2 linked regions of the Ovis aries genome follow. The protein of the gene in region 1 interacts with the protein of each later gene in a biochemical or structural test. Links are inferred from orthologs where the notes say so. Each region holds a gene or a part of one and is shown on either strand. Other genes may lie near its edges.

Region 1 (5,663 bases):
TTACTGTCCTGTGGCTCAAACAAGTCAGTTAAGGCCTCTGTGCCCCTGTCAGTTTGCTTGGATTTTTACCAGAAATCAAATGGGACAAAGTTAAGGCGTGCCATATTCAAGCATGAACTGTAAATACATATCATGATAAAGCAAACACTGCTTCTGAAAAGTTGCTTTCTTTTACTATCACTCACAGAATGGAAAGATACACACCCTCTCTAACCCTGGAGAGGGGGATGAGGAGGAAGGAAATTTGACATTTAACTTTACAACACTAAATATTTAAATTTGTGATTAGCAAATATTACGCCCACCGTTAAAAAATTAGATGTGTCCCAAAGCAGCAGCAGCCCCAGCTTTACCGTCTTAGAGACGAAGTCGTGCAGGCGCATCCCCCCATTGCTCTGCGGAGTGCTGGAGCCGTCTGTTTCGGTTTTTGGCTCTGGCTGCCTGCTGCTCAATGTGGAGTCACTGTTCCAAGGCTGTAAAGTACCTAGAAAACAGACAACTCCAAGCTTTGTGTCTTAGATGTTTCGTTCCTTCTGAATTTTTTTTGCCGCACCCTGTGGTTCATGAGACTTAGCTCCTCAACCAGGGACTGATCCCAGGGTCCTTGGCAGTCAGAGTGCGAAGTCCTAACCACTGGACCGCCAGGTAATTCTCCCGTCTGAATTTTAACCCCAATTCTAATATAACCAGTAGGGACTTCCCTGGCAGTCCAGTGATTAAGAATCTCCCTTCCAGTGCCAGGGGACATGGAAAAGAAATATGTCTTCCATGTTGGGAAACATCCCACATGCTACAGGGGAACTAAATAGCCTGTGAGCCACAACCAAAGAAACGTGCACGCCACAACAAAGATCCTGAGTGCCGCAGCAAAGATCCGACACAGCCAAATACACAATATAACTAGTAGATAACCAGGAGTCTATAACACCCAGAAGTGAACTATGCAACACAGTTTCCAGAGAGACAAGCTACACACCAGCGGTGTAGGTCAGGCTAGCAAGCCAAAGCAGGGCATGACAAAACAGGGCTCTGTCCCCCAGTAAGAAGCAGTACAGTGAACGACCTGAAACATCCAGCCCCTGACTCATGAGGGTTCTAAGAAACCAGTTCTCCCCGGATTTCACCAGTTGTTTTTACATAGGCAATTCAGCCACAAACCCAGCGGACCTGTTTTCCTTCGGCTCCGGGTCCAATATGGCACGGTCTCAATAGTGGACACAGCCTCGATGGGCCCGCCATCATTGGGAACAGTCACTGTAGTTTTAGCAACTATGGATTCATTTCCCTGAAACAAAGGCAGTAATGAGGGAAGGATAAATCTAATTTCCCTTCTACTATGGGTGGTTTGGTGTAGTTAAAAAATTCCTGAGTCTTAGTAAGGACTTAAGCCCCTAGCCCCAAATACTCTTGAAGTTGAAATCTAATACTTTCAAATGAAAATACAGGTCACAGGGGTATACAAGCAACTGAGAACAAGCATGAAGCTGATGTTGTTTACTATTCTATTCAGATGGATAAGGATCCCAGTACAGAGAAGAATTTTCACCAAACAGCTCTTTCGAAATAACACTGCAATGTTGACTCGGGATTTTTTATGCTTGGGGCCACCACACTTTGTTATGTTCAAGACCACAATTCTCTCAGCCTAGTTATTCTTACTTGGTCTGCAGTGGAGCCAATGGAACGCGTTTTCTTTACAGGACCAGGTGGACCATCCACGAACTGTCGGCTATTCGAGCGCTAAAAATGGGGCAAAAACCAAGAACTTTAGTGTCAGATAGGAGATCTGAAGCACAAAAAATAAAATTATTCCATTAGACAACTTGGATGCAAGTCCTAGGTACCAGGGCTGCAGGAAATAACAAACAATCTGCTCTCTCTCACAGCCTATTTCCACAAAAAGGCCCTGAGTGCCCTAGAAGAACAAGCAAGCTTTGGAAAAATTTAGATGGCAGCACCAGAAAAAGTAGAGTGTAATCCTATCTAAGAACATGAAGTCCTAGAAACATATTAAGGACCCTAAACAAGCACAGATAGATCTCTGTATATCCCATTATATACACATTTCATCTGAAACTTCTATTAGAGCACAAAAGTTCTGCATAAAAATTCATATGACATCTCAAAACAAACTTAAATAGATCCTTTTCCTCTCCATGAATGAACTTAAATCAGCTCAGAATAGTGAAACAGGCAGGACAGGATTCTGTCCTGAGTTTACTACCTCTGCTCCTGCTGCTGCTAAGTCACTTCAGTCGTGTCCAACTCTGTGCGACACCATAGACGGCAGCCCACCAGGCTCCCCCGCCCCTGGGATTCTCCAGGCAAGAACACTGGAGTGGGTTGCCATTTCCTTCTCCAATGCATGAAAGCGAAAAGTGAAAGTGAAGTCGCTCAGTCGTGTCCGACTCTTAGTGACCCCATAGACTGCAGCCTTCTGGGCTCCTCTGTCCATGGGATTTTCCAGGCAATTACTACCTCAGGGAACATCAATACTGCCCCCGCCCCCAACATGGATTCACTTGTAATATGTGTTTAACACCAGCTAGAGCAACATGTCAGGAATGTAGCACAATGGCAACATTTCGGAGGAAACTCTTTTATTGCTACTAAGTAAAAACAGACACACACACACAAACCCAAAAGTAAACAAAACCATACATACCCTCTTTTCTCTCTTCTTCAGTTTCAAAGTCTTTACCAAAGAAGAATCCCAATCCTGTTGACAATTATACTGTATCAATTTCCTTCTTTGGTTAGGCCTTCCCTAAATCCTATGCAAATACATTTACAGAAAATTTTAAAAACCTCCTGAGTCTGAGTATCTAACTCACAATTCTCAAATGTTATAGCCATAGTGCTGTGGTAAGTGAACATGCCTTCTTTCCAAAATTGAAGCTATTATAATAGAATCAGGAATCAATACCACAGAGGCAAGAAAAGGTTAAAGAATCAACTTCTGTCGTGATTATCTTCAGTACCTGGTCCTTTGTTTCTGATTATTTTTGTAATTAGTTTTAGAACTCACAGAATGGTGGGCACTATACTAATGGTTCAGATGTGATCCTTGCTCATAAGGGACTGCTACCATCTAATTCGATATTCTATACAAGGTAGCCACTTTAAAAGTTCTAGTTTAGAATTCACATCTCTCAATCATCCTTCCTCCTTGAGCCCTAAAAAAGTATTCATTTGTCTTTCACTGTGGTCTAGTTTTACTTCACTCACTTCAACCATTTGCATTCATCTTTTGTAGCTACCTATGACCTCCTGACCCTGATAGTCTCTGAAAACACAAAACCCCTAAACAGTTGTATATATTATAGCTTAGCTAAATAAATTTAACCTTTCCAATTTATGGTCAAGTAATTTAGCTACTGGTTGTTTGACTCAGCTTCAGTTACAACAGATATTACAGCAGAGGTCTAGCTCTAAAATTAGCTAGAAATATATTCTAGTTTTATTAAAAATCCCAAACTGTGTCATTCCTTATTCCCAAAAGGCGATACCTAATATTAATATTTACAAAAGAGCAATTACTGCCCTAGTCAAACTCTGAATTTGGACAGAAAACTCTGAGTCTATGTAACAAGCAGTTGTCATTTGTTTTGCTATCATCAAATGACCAACTACCAATAACCTCCTGACTTGTTGTTTTGTTTGCTAGCTTTCCACCAGTCAAAGAGGAAAGCTACAGAAACCATAAGCTGCAAGTCTCTGGAACAAAGACTGAATATCAGAGTATGACCTCTTATGCAGAAACCCCACCATACATTACAAGAAGGGTGCTGCCCCACAACAGCAGGGCAACAAAGGGCTCAGACAGGTGAACCACTGCTCACCAAGGTATTGTCTAGTGCCTGGAAACTTTCATCAGCCTTTGGGCTAAAGTTCCAAGGCACTGGTTTCCTTCTAATTGTGAAGTATGACTAAGTTTTCCTCAAGAACTAATTTAATTTAGAAATAAGGCACACATCTACTCTAGCCAAGAGCAGCAAATAAAGCCTGCCTGGATAGAGTCTTGATAATTTTTTTTCCCCCCTAGCTGGGGTTTTAAAAAGTCAAGATGTAATAACCAATTAGTATAGGCAGCTCACAGATTCATTAAATAAATTTAACCTCATGCCAAATCCTAAATTCCATATTCTCACTTCCAAAGGCTAAATATATAAGCCAATTTCTTTCAGGCTTGTGTGTATTTATATTTTTAAAAGCTAGTCATTATCTATAACATATCAACTAATAAAATAGTAACAAGGGAATTTCAGAAGAGAGGACAGAAGAGAGATTCCTGACGGAGCAGGGTTAAGAAAAATAGATAATTCTCAGAAATTAAGTGTTCATTACCAGGGATTCATCGGTCTTGTCAAAGCTGATATCGGATAAAATGGAACCAGATTCATCAATGGTTGACAGTCTAGATGAGTGAAATAGTAGTTAGAAACAAGACTGTGGAAAGTAAAATCCACCAACACTGGAAAAAGTCACACTGGTCAGGTAACATCAGCAATCTCACAGCAGCATCTTCCCTGTGGAGATAACTACAAGCTCAACCCCTAGCTGTGGTGGCCGCTTTTTACGGTTTTCAAGGGGGACTATGTGTATGTGTGTGTGTGCACACACGAGCACACATGCAGCACAGCTGCTATTTCAGCAAAGGGCTCATAACAGCAGTTGAAAGTTACAGTCGGGGTATAGGTGCTATTTCCTGCTGAGTCTATACTACAGGCTGCTAAAAAGTCACAAGGCGGAAGAGTGAAGTTCAGTTTGATCCCAACTGTGGTTGTTTTCTACAAGAGAGAGAATTACCCAGCATTAGCTTTCTAACAAATTAAGCCCGTAGATCTTCTTAGTTATAGATTCCCATAAAACAACCAGACAACAAAATAAATACCTCAAAGAGTGCTGACCTTTCCCTATGTATTGTATTGGGGGTGTTAATTGAAAGCTTGGCTGAGACTATTTTAAATAGTGGTGCAGTAGAACCAAAACTATCATCTGGTCTTGGCTCACAGAGGGTCTTTCTTAACCAGAACTACGAGAGCTCTCTAGAGAGCCAACACTGCAAGTATTGCCACTTCCACCTTTAGGTTTCTTAGCAATGGGCAGGATTATTGATGTTGGTACAATTGCGCACCAACGTCAAATTTTACCCTTAATGAAAAAACCTAAGATAAAAAAATAAAACGGGACGCCCCTGCACCTTTATTTCCCACCCAGCCTTCCTCCAAAGTCTTTTCCTGTTTTATTTAGCACACATTCCAAAAGCAGTATATCTAAGAGTTTAGACAGCAAGAACGTCTGAGAGCTGTGTTCCTGTGATCAGGTAACAGATGCAGTTCCCCCACCTTTTGTTCCCAGCGTTGCCACTGGATGGGTGGCCTCTGTTGAGAAAAGCCAGGGCTGATTTTTGCTCTTCACTTAGTTGGATGCTGCCAGATGTATCACACATGAGCATCTCTCGAATCAGCTGAATCTGTCTTTCCTACAGACCAAAGCAGAGTAAAACGTCCTAACTAACCAGGGGAGAAAGCGTCACCTTAAATTTATGGGACAGGCAGACCAGGAGACATTAAAATACAGCATTATGCAAATGAGCCTCCAGGAAGGCTGCTACACCAATAGCATATTAATTCACATCAAGCCCAGATTGCGTCTCTGAT
Region 2 (5,663 bases), on another chromosome or scaffold:
AGTATACCTTCCAGGAATTCAAGATTACCCTAAACTTACCATTTGCTACATATATACACTGATGGAGGATGAGAACAAAGTGATAAACTCTTCAAGTGCGATCTTGAACTAAGACTTTAATCCCAATAAAAGTATTTTCTCCTGTTCTATAATTTTCACAAGTTAAATCTTGGAACTATTTTATAAGAACAAAGTTCTGCTCTAGATAAGAGAAAAATACCTACCTTCATCACCTTCTGACCCCCTTACTCACCAACGCTCATAGTAATTCTTTCCTAATATTACTCATCTAAAATGTTATTTACTTACCAACCTCCACTATCCTAATCATCTTTCAAGACCTAACTCAAGCTCCACTGCCTCCTTCAAACCTCAGGGGCCACACTCCTATGATTTAAAATTTTTTACTAAACACACATATAGCAAAAACTGAATTTCTGATCCTCAATAAATTGTGAGAGAAATAGACAAAATGAGAACACTTTCATTAAATCCATTACCAAACAGTGCTATATTGAAATACACAAAAATACTAAAATTTACATACCCTGAATTTTTCTCCTTGTGTACAATTTGCCACCAAATGTGTAACTTTTGAATTAAAGTCTTTTCTAATAACTCCACCCATGTGATGAACCAATGTCACCAATCTGACCTCAAAAGAAAAAGTAAACATTGGTTTTTTTTGATTAATATAAACAAAATTTTAAATGATGTTTATAGTTCATTTAGCATATACTGATTTCTATTTATCAGGTACATGAAAGAATTTTTATAAAGTTTATGTTAAAAAAATTAAAAGATTCATTTGCCTTACTGGCATAGGCAAAATCATACAGAGATAAGGTAGTTAAGATTAACATACAAAACTAAGTTAATTAAAGACTGGCTTTCACACAAGTGAAAAAGTAAAGATATTACTTCTTAGAGGTGGGTGGTGAAGTAAAAAAGCTTGTTGCTTTGCCAGGCAAAGGGGGACACAACAGGCTTGTGTCCCAAAAAAATGTATGTCCTCAATTTATTACTTTTTAAAAGCCAGGTTGTCATCACATCAAGATTCTTCCCACTGAATTCTATTAATACCCCATTCAGTCAGTTCAGTTCAGTCACTCAGTCGTGTCTGACTCTTTGCGACCCCATAAATTGCAGCATGCCAGGCATTAGCTCCAACATAAATAATTTTACAGATCAAAGAAAGAAATTTCTATGAATTCTCTAGAGCAATGAGAATACTTTAAGACTAGATATATATAATAAAAAATGGCAATGCATAAACAAAAACTTCAAATAATATGCTAATAAAATACTTAAAAAGACAATTTAAACAGACAGCTACGAAGTTTTCCTAATTCACAGACCAGCCACCCTAGACAAAACATTTGTTTGTTCACAAGGCTCTTCAGAGTGTTTCTTCACAAAGTTTAAGACCCCTTTCATACTCATAGTGGGCTTCCTGGTGGCTCAGACGGTAATACGTCTGTCTGTAATGCAGGAGACCCAGGTTTGATCCCTGAGTCAAGAAGATCCCCTGGAGAAGGAAACGGCAACCCACTCCAGTACTGTTGTCTGGAAAATTCCATGGATGGAGGAACCGGGTGGGCTACAGTCCATGGGGTTGCACAGTCGGACACAACTGAGCGACTTCACTTCACTTCACGTTCACAGTAATTTCTCCTTCAATATTTTAAAAATAAAATCATGATACAACTACCAAAAAAAGGCAAATTTATTTTTCTAGAGGAAATATTCTTTGACTAGAATGTTTTAAAATACTTACTAGTTCTTCTTTCTTCCTGAATCCAGTAAAACATATTACTAGATTCATCATGCTGGTACAATAGAGTGGGCGACATGCAAATGGCAGGGGCTGAAGGATACAATTTTAAATCTGTGAGACTCTCTACAGCAAAAATAGAACACATCTTTCTAAACTAAACATATTTCCCTCTCTTGCCATTTAACACTCCAAACCCCAAAATATACTTGCATCTTTCAACATGCAAGAAATCGCAAGGATCAATTTCACAATAAAAGTTCCCATGATTTCCCATATCATATTTGATACACATAATCTAAACACACTTTACTACTGCCAAATAAAACATAAATATCCATACCCACACCTTTGTTTCCAAAATGTACTTTGATACATGAGGTATTGTCTATAATAAAAGATTTCCATATACTACTGTAAATGCTTCAAATTAAAGTTAAAAGAGGTCAAAAATATTTTTCTAATAAATACTGATCATACATATACTTGAACCAAATATGATTCTAACTTTTCAGCTAAAAAATGGAGATAGTAAATAATTTAACAAATGATTTTATCTATCTATATATGAAAGAGAATGCTTAAAAACAGATATAAATTTAATTCCCACTATTGGGCAGAAATATACTTTTCCATAATCTTGGCCTTTAAAATGTTTATGTGTTTTTTAAAAACAAGACTTCTGAATCAAAACAGAAAACTAAAAGATTATAATGTGCTCATCATTAGTATCTATAATAAAAGAAGCACAAAGATCTAAGCAGTTTAAAGTTACTAAGGCAAGCTTAAGAATGCCAAAACAGAGCAATAAAATATGTATCACCTCTGCTACAACTTGAATGAAATGCTATTCAAAAACAAAAAGCTAAAGTAATTTCCCTAATTTATCAGTAGAAACTGATAAAAATGCAATTGTGGTAGCAGTTCTATGTGGAAGAAAATTAAAGTTTATGTACTTATATATACATATCTTTGGTACTCAGGTTTAAAGCAAATTATTTCTTCCCAAGATACTGCAGGTATTAAGATTTTGTATATACATATGATATTCTTCGGGCTTCCCAGGTGGCGCTAGTGGTGAAGAACCTGCCTGCCAATGCAGGAGATGTAAGAGACGGGAGTTTGATCCCTGGGTCAGGTTCGTTCCCTGGGTTGGGAAGATCCCCTGAAGGAGGGAGGGCAGAGAATCCCATGGCCTGGCGGGCCAAAGTCCATAGGGTTGCAAACGGTCGGACACAACTGAAGCGACTTAACACGCACGCACACACATATTATTTATGATTAAAGGACTTCTGAGTTCTACAGAAGGTAGTACTATAGAGTAGCCACTACTATTCCTATTTTAAATATTTCATATTCTCAACAATTAATGAGATTTTTTTGCAAAAAATTCATTAATAAAATTTTATTAACCTTGAAAAGTTATAATAAGCATATATTCCTTCTTACCTCTCCTTTTTCTGCACAGTTTAATACAACTGGTGGTCCAATAACTCTACAATCAGCCTTGTATAACTCATTAAAGACAGAATCCTGGAAGTCCATGACTATGAATACATTTTCAAATTCTGGAGAATCCAAACTTTTAACTTCTTCAACTGATTCCATCTTTACAAATGGCAGTTTAATTTCCTTGATTTTTTTCCATGGCATTATTAAGAAATAAAATTTATATATTATAAAATCAATTATAAATCTCTCTAAATAAGACCCCCAAATCAACTCAGTATCAACATTTTTATTTGTATATTTGTAGAAATGTAGAAACTTAAGTTTTAAACCATACAATGAGCATTATACTTAATAGTGAAGTCATATTTCTTTACTTATTTATATAAATATATCTCTACATTAAGATTTTAAATTTTGAAAATTATTATAAAGGCGTAAGTTTCTGACATGACTTGGTAGCCATTATAAAGCATCTAGTATGGATATAAAAATAGGGATGATGAATTTTTTAAGTACACATATTTTGATAGTAGGATGCCTTAGAAAGATATCCAGAGTTGCTTTTTATTCTGACTGAGAAAATGATGCCATACACATAGTTCTTCCTGCACAAATTATAGTCAGAAAAAAAGAAAAAAATACTATGACATGCAACATCTACAGAAAGTTCAGTATATATGAGGGAAATAAGAGGAACATAAGAAAATATGGAGGCAACTACAACTTTGTATACACAGGATTTAAAAAGACAACTTTGTAATGTACATCCCTGACAAAGAATGAAGATAGTTAAGGATCTACATGACTTGTATAAAAAGAACAGAACCATTTAAAAGAAAATTCAAATGGGGGAGTCAATATTTGGGCTTTACTTCCCAGGCTGATGTGAAGGGATGAATTGTGTATCCCAAAACTCATGTTGAAGTTCTAATCCCCTGTACCTCAGAATGTAACTATTTCAAGATATGGCCTTTCAAGATGTAATAAAGGTTAAATGAAGTCACATAGGTGGATTCTAGTCAGACTGTATTAGAGGTGGATAGGTGTCCTTGTAAGAGAGGACATCTGGACATACAAGAGAGATATGCATGCACAGAAGATGAGCCACATGAGGATAAAGCAAGAAGGTGGCAGTCATCGACAAGCCAAGGAAAAAGGCCTCAACAGAAACCAAACCTGCTGACACCTTGATCATGGACTTTAGCCTCCCGGAAAGTGAGAAAACATATTTCTATTGTTTGAGCCGCCCAGCATATGTTATTATGGAAACCCTCACAATCTAGTATTAGCTGGTATAGGGAATTAGAGATATTTCATACAGTGAGGTAAATTCCCTGATGACTGTCAAGTATTGACTTGCAATTGTAGAAGTAATGCAAGAATTTGGAATAAAATAAAATTATTGAGGAAAAAGTAGAGTTTAAAGTATTAGATCTTCACAAATACATAAGTGAAATGTCATTTAAATTTAACAATGCCAAATTACTCTATAAGGATTTCATTATTTATAAAACATTATAGTTTGAGGTTTCAGAAACATCCAAATTTTAAAATAAATGTCATAGTTTTCATTAATCTAGTTTCAGAGTGTTCAAAGTATACCTCACGTCTACTTTAGGCCCAATCACCATTAAGTGGACTATAGAATACAATCAAAGGAAGTGCAGCATGCCACATGCAACGAAAAGCTCGACCTACCATATTAACAATACTTTTTATTAATTTTTCATCCGATTTTCCAGGACAACTTTCTTTTATCTTTATAACAGGGACTTCCATTATGTTAATAGTCTGTGGAAAAGAGACTTAATTATGAGATTAAGAAAACTATAATTTATGCACTGATGGAAGGAAAATAGTCTCTTTAAAAATAAAAATAAAAAGTTCAATCTCCATACCTTTAAGGCTTTTATAAGTTCTTCTTGTTTTCCAGATTCTTGAACCAGTATGACTCTGGTTTCAATCTGAGGCATTTCTTCTATTAAAATTAAAAACGTTTAAGCAAAACACTTTTATTATTCACTAACATCGAAATCAGTAGTCTCCAACCCCTTTTTGGCTAGATCTATAATGTTTTCCATCTTTGAGATAATAACATTCCCTGAAATTAAAATGACTTAATTCCTGGCTTTTTAAAAAAATCTCATCAGGTATCATTTCAGAAGAGAAACATACTGTATTATAAACAAAGTATTCAAACATTAGCACTCTTCATAACCAAAGAAAGCATTCACCAACTTGCAGTCATCCTCTTAAATAGTGCATACAACTCTATGAAAGATACGTTAACACAGTGGAAAGGGAAGAAGTGGCTCTTCACCTACCAGTCCTAAATGAATATATTCTAGCTAACAATATTGCAGCTAGATTGCCCTCACATACAGCAAAAGCAATATCCAACAAGACACCCTCTCCTTCGAAGTTGGAAAATGCCAAA

The links.
Region 2: the proteins of RACGAP1 (region 1) and ECT2 form a complex in vitro, tested with the Homo sapiens proteins (3 studies listed by BioGRID and IntAct, with this or other methods). The link is inferred for Ovis aries from reciprocal best matches to the Homo sapiens genes RACGAP1 and ECT2.

What each region holds. Positions count from the first base shown.
Region 1 is NC_056056.1:136,296,046-136,301,708, reverse strand, and holds part of RACGAP1 (rac GTPase-activating protein 1), read right to left. Parts: intron 5,486-5,663; coding exon 5,349-5,485; intron 4,418-5,348; coding exon 4,348-4,417; intron 2,720-4,347; coding exon 2,666-2,719; intron 1,741-2,665; coding exon 1,660-1,740; intron 1,286-1,659; coding exon 1,168-1,285; intron 485-1,167; coding exon 354-484; intron 1-353.
Region 2 is NC_056054.1:215,452,321-215,457,983, forward strand, and holds part of ECT2 (protein ECT2), read right to left. Parts: intron 5,205-5,663; coding exon 5,125-5,204; intron 5,018-5,124; coding exon 4,925-5,017; intron 3,407-4,924; coding exon 3,224-3,406; intron 1,868-3,223; coding exon 1,778-1,867; intron 656-1,777; coding exon 548-655; intron 1-547. UniProt on the Homo sapiens protein: Guanine nucleotide exchange factor (GEF) that catalyzes the exchange of GDP for GTP. Promotes guanine nucleotide exchange on the Rho family members of small GTPases, like RHOA, RHOC, RAC1 and CDC42.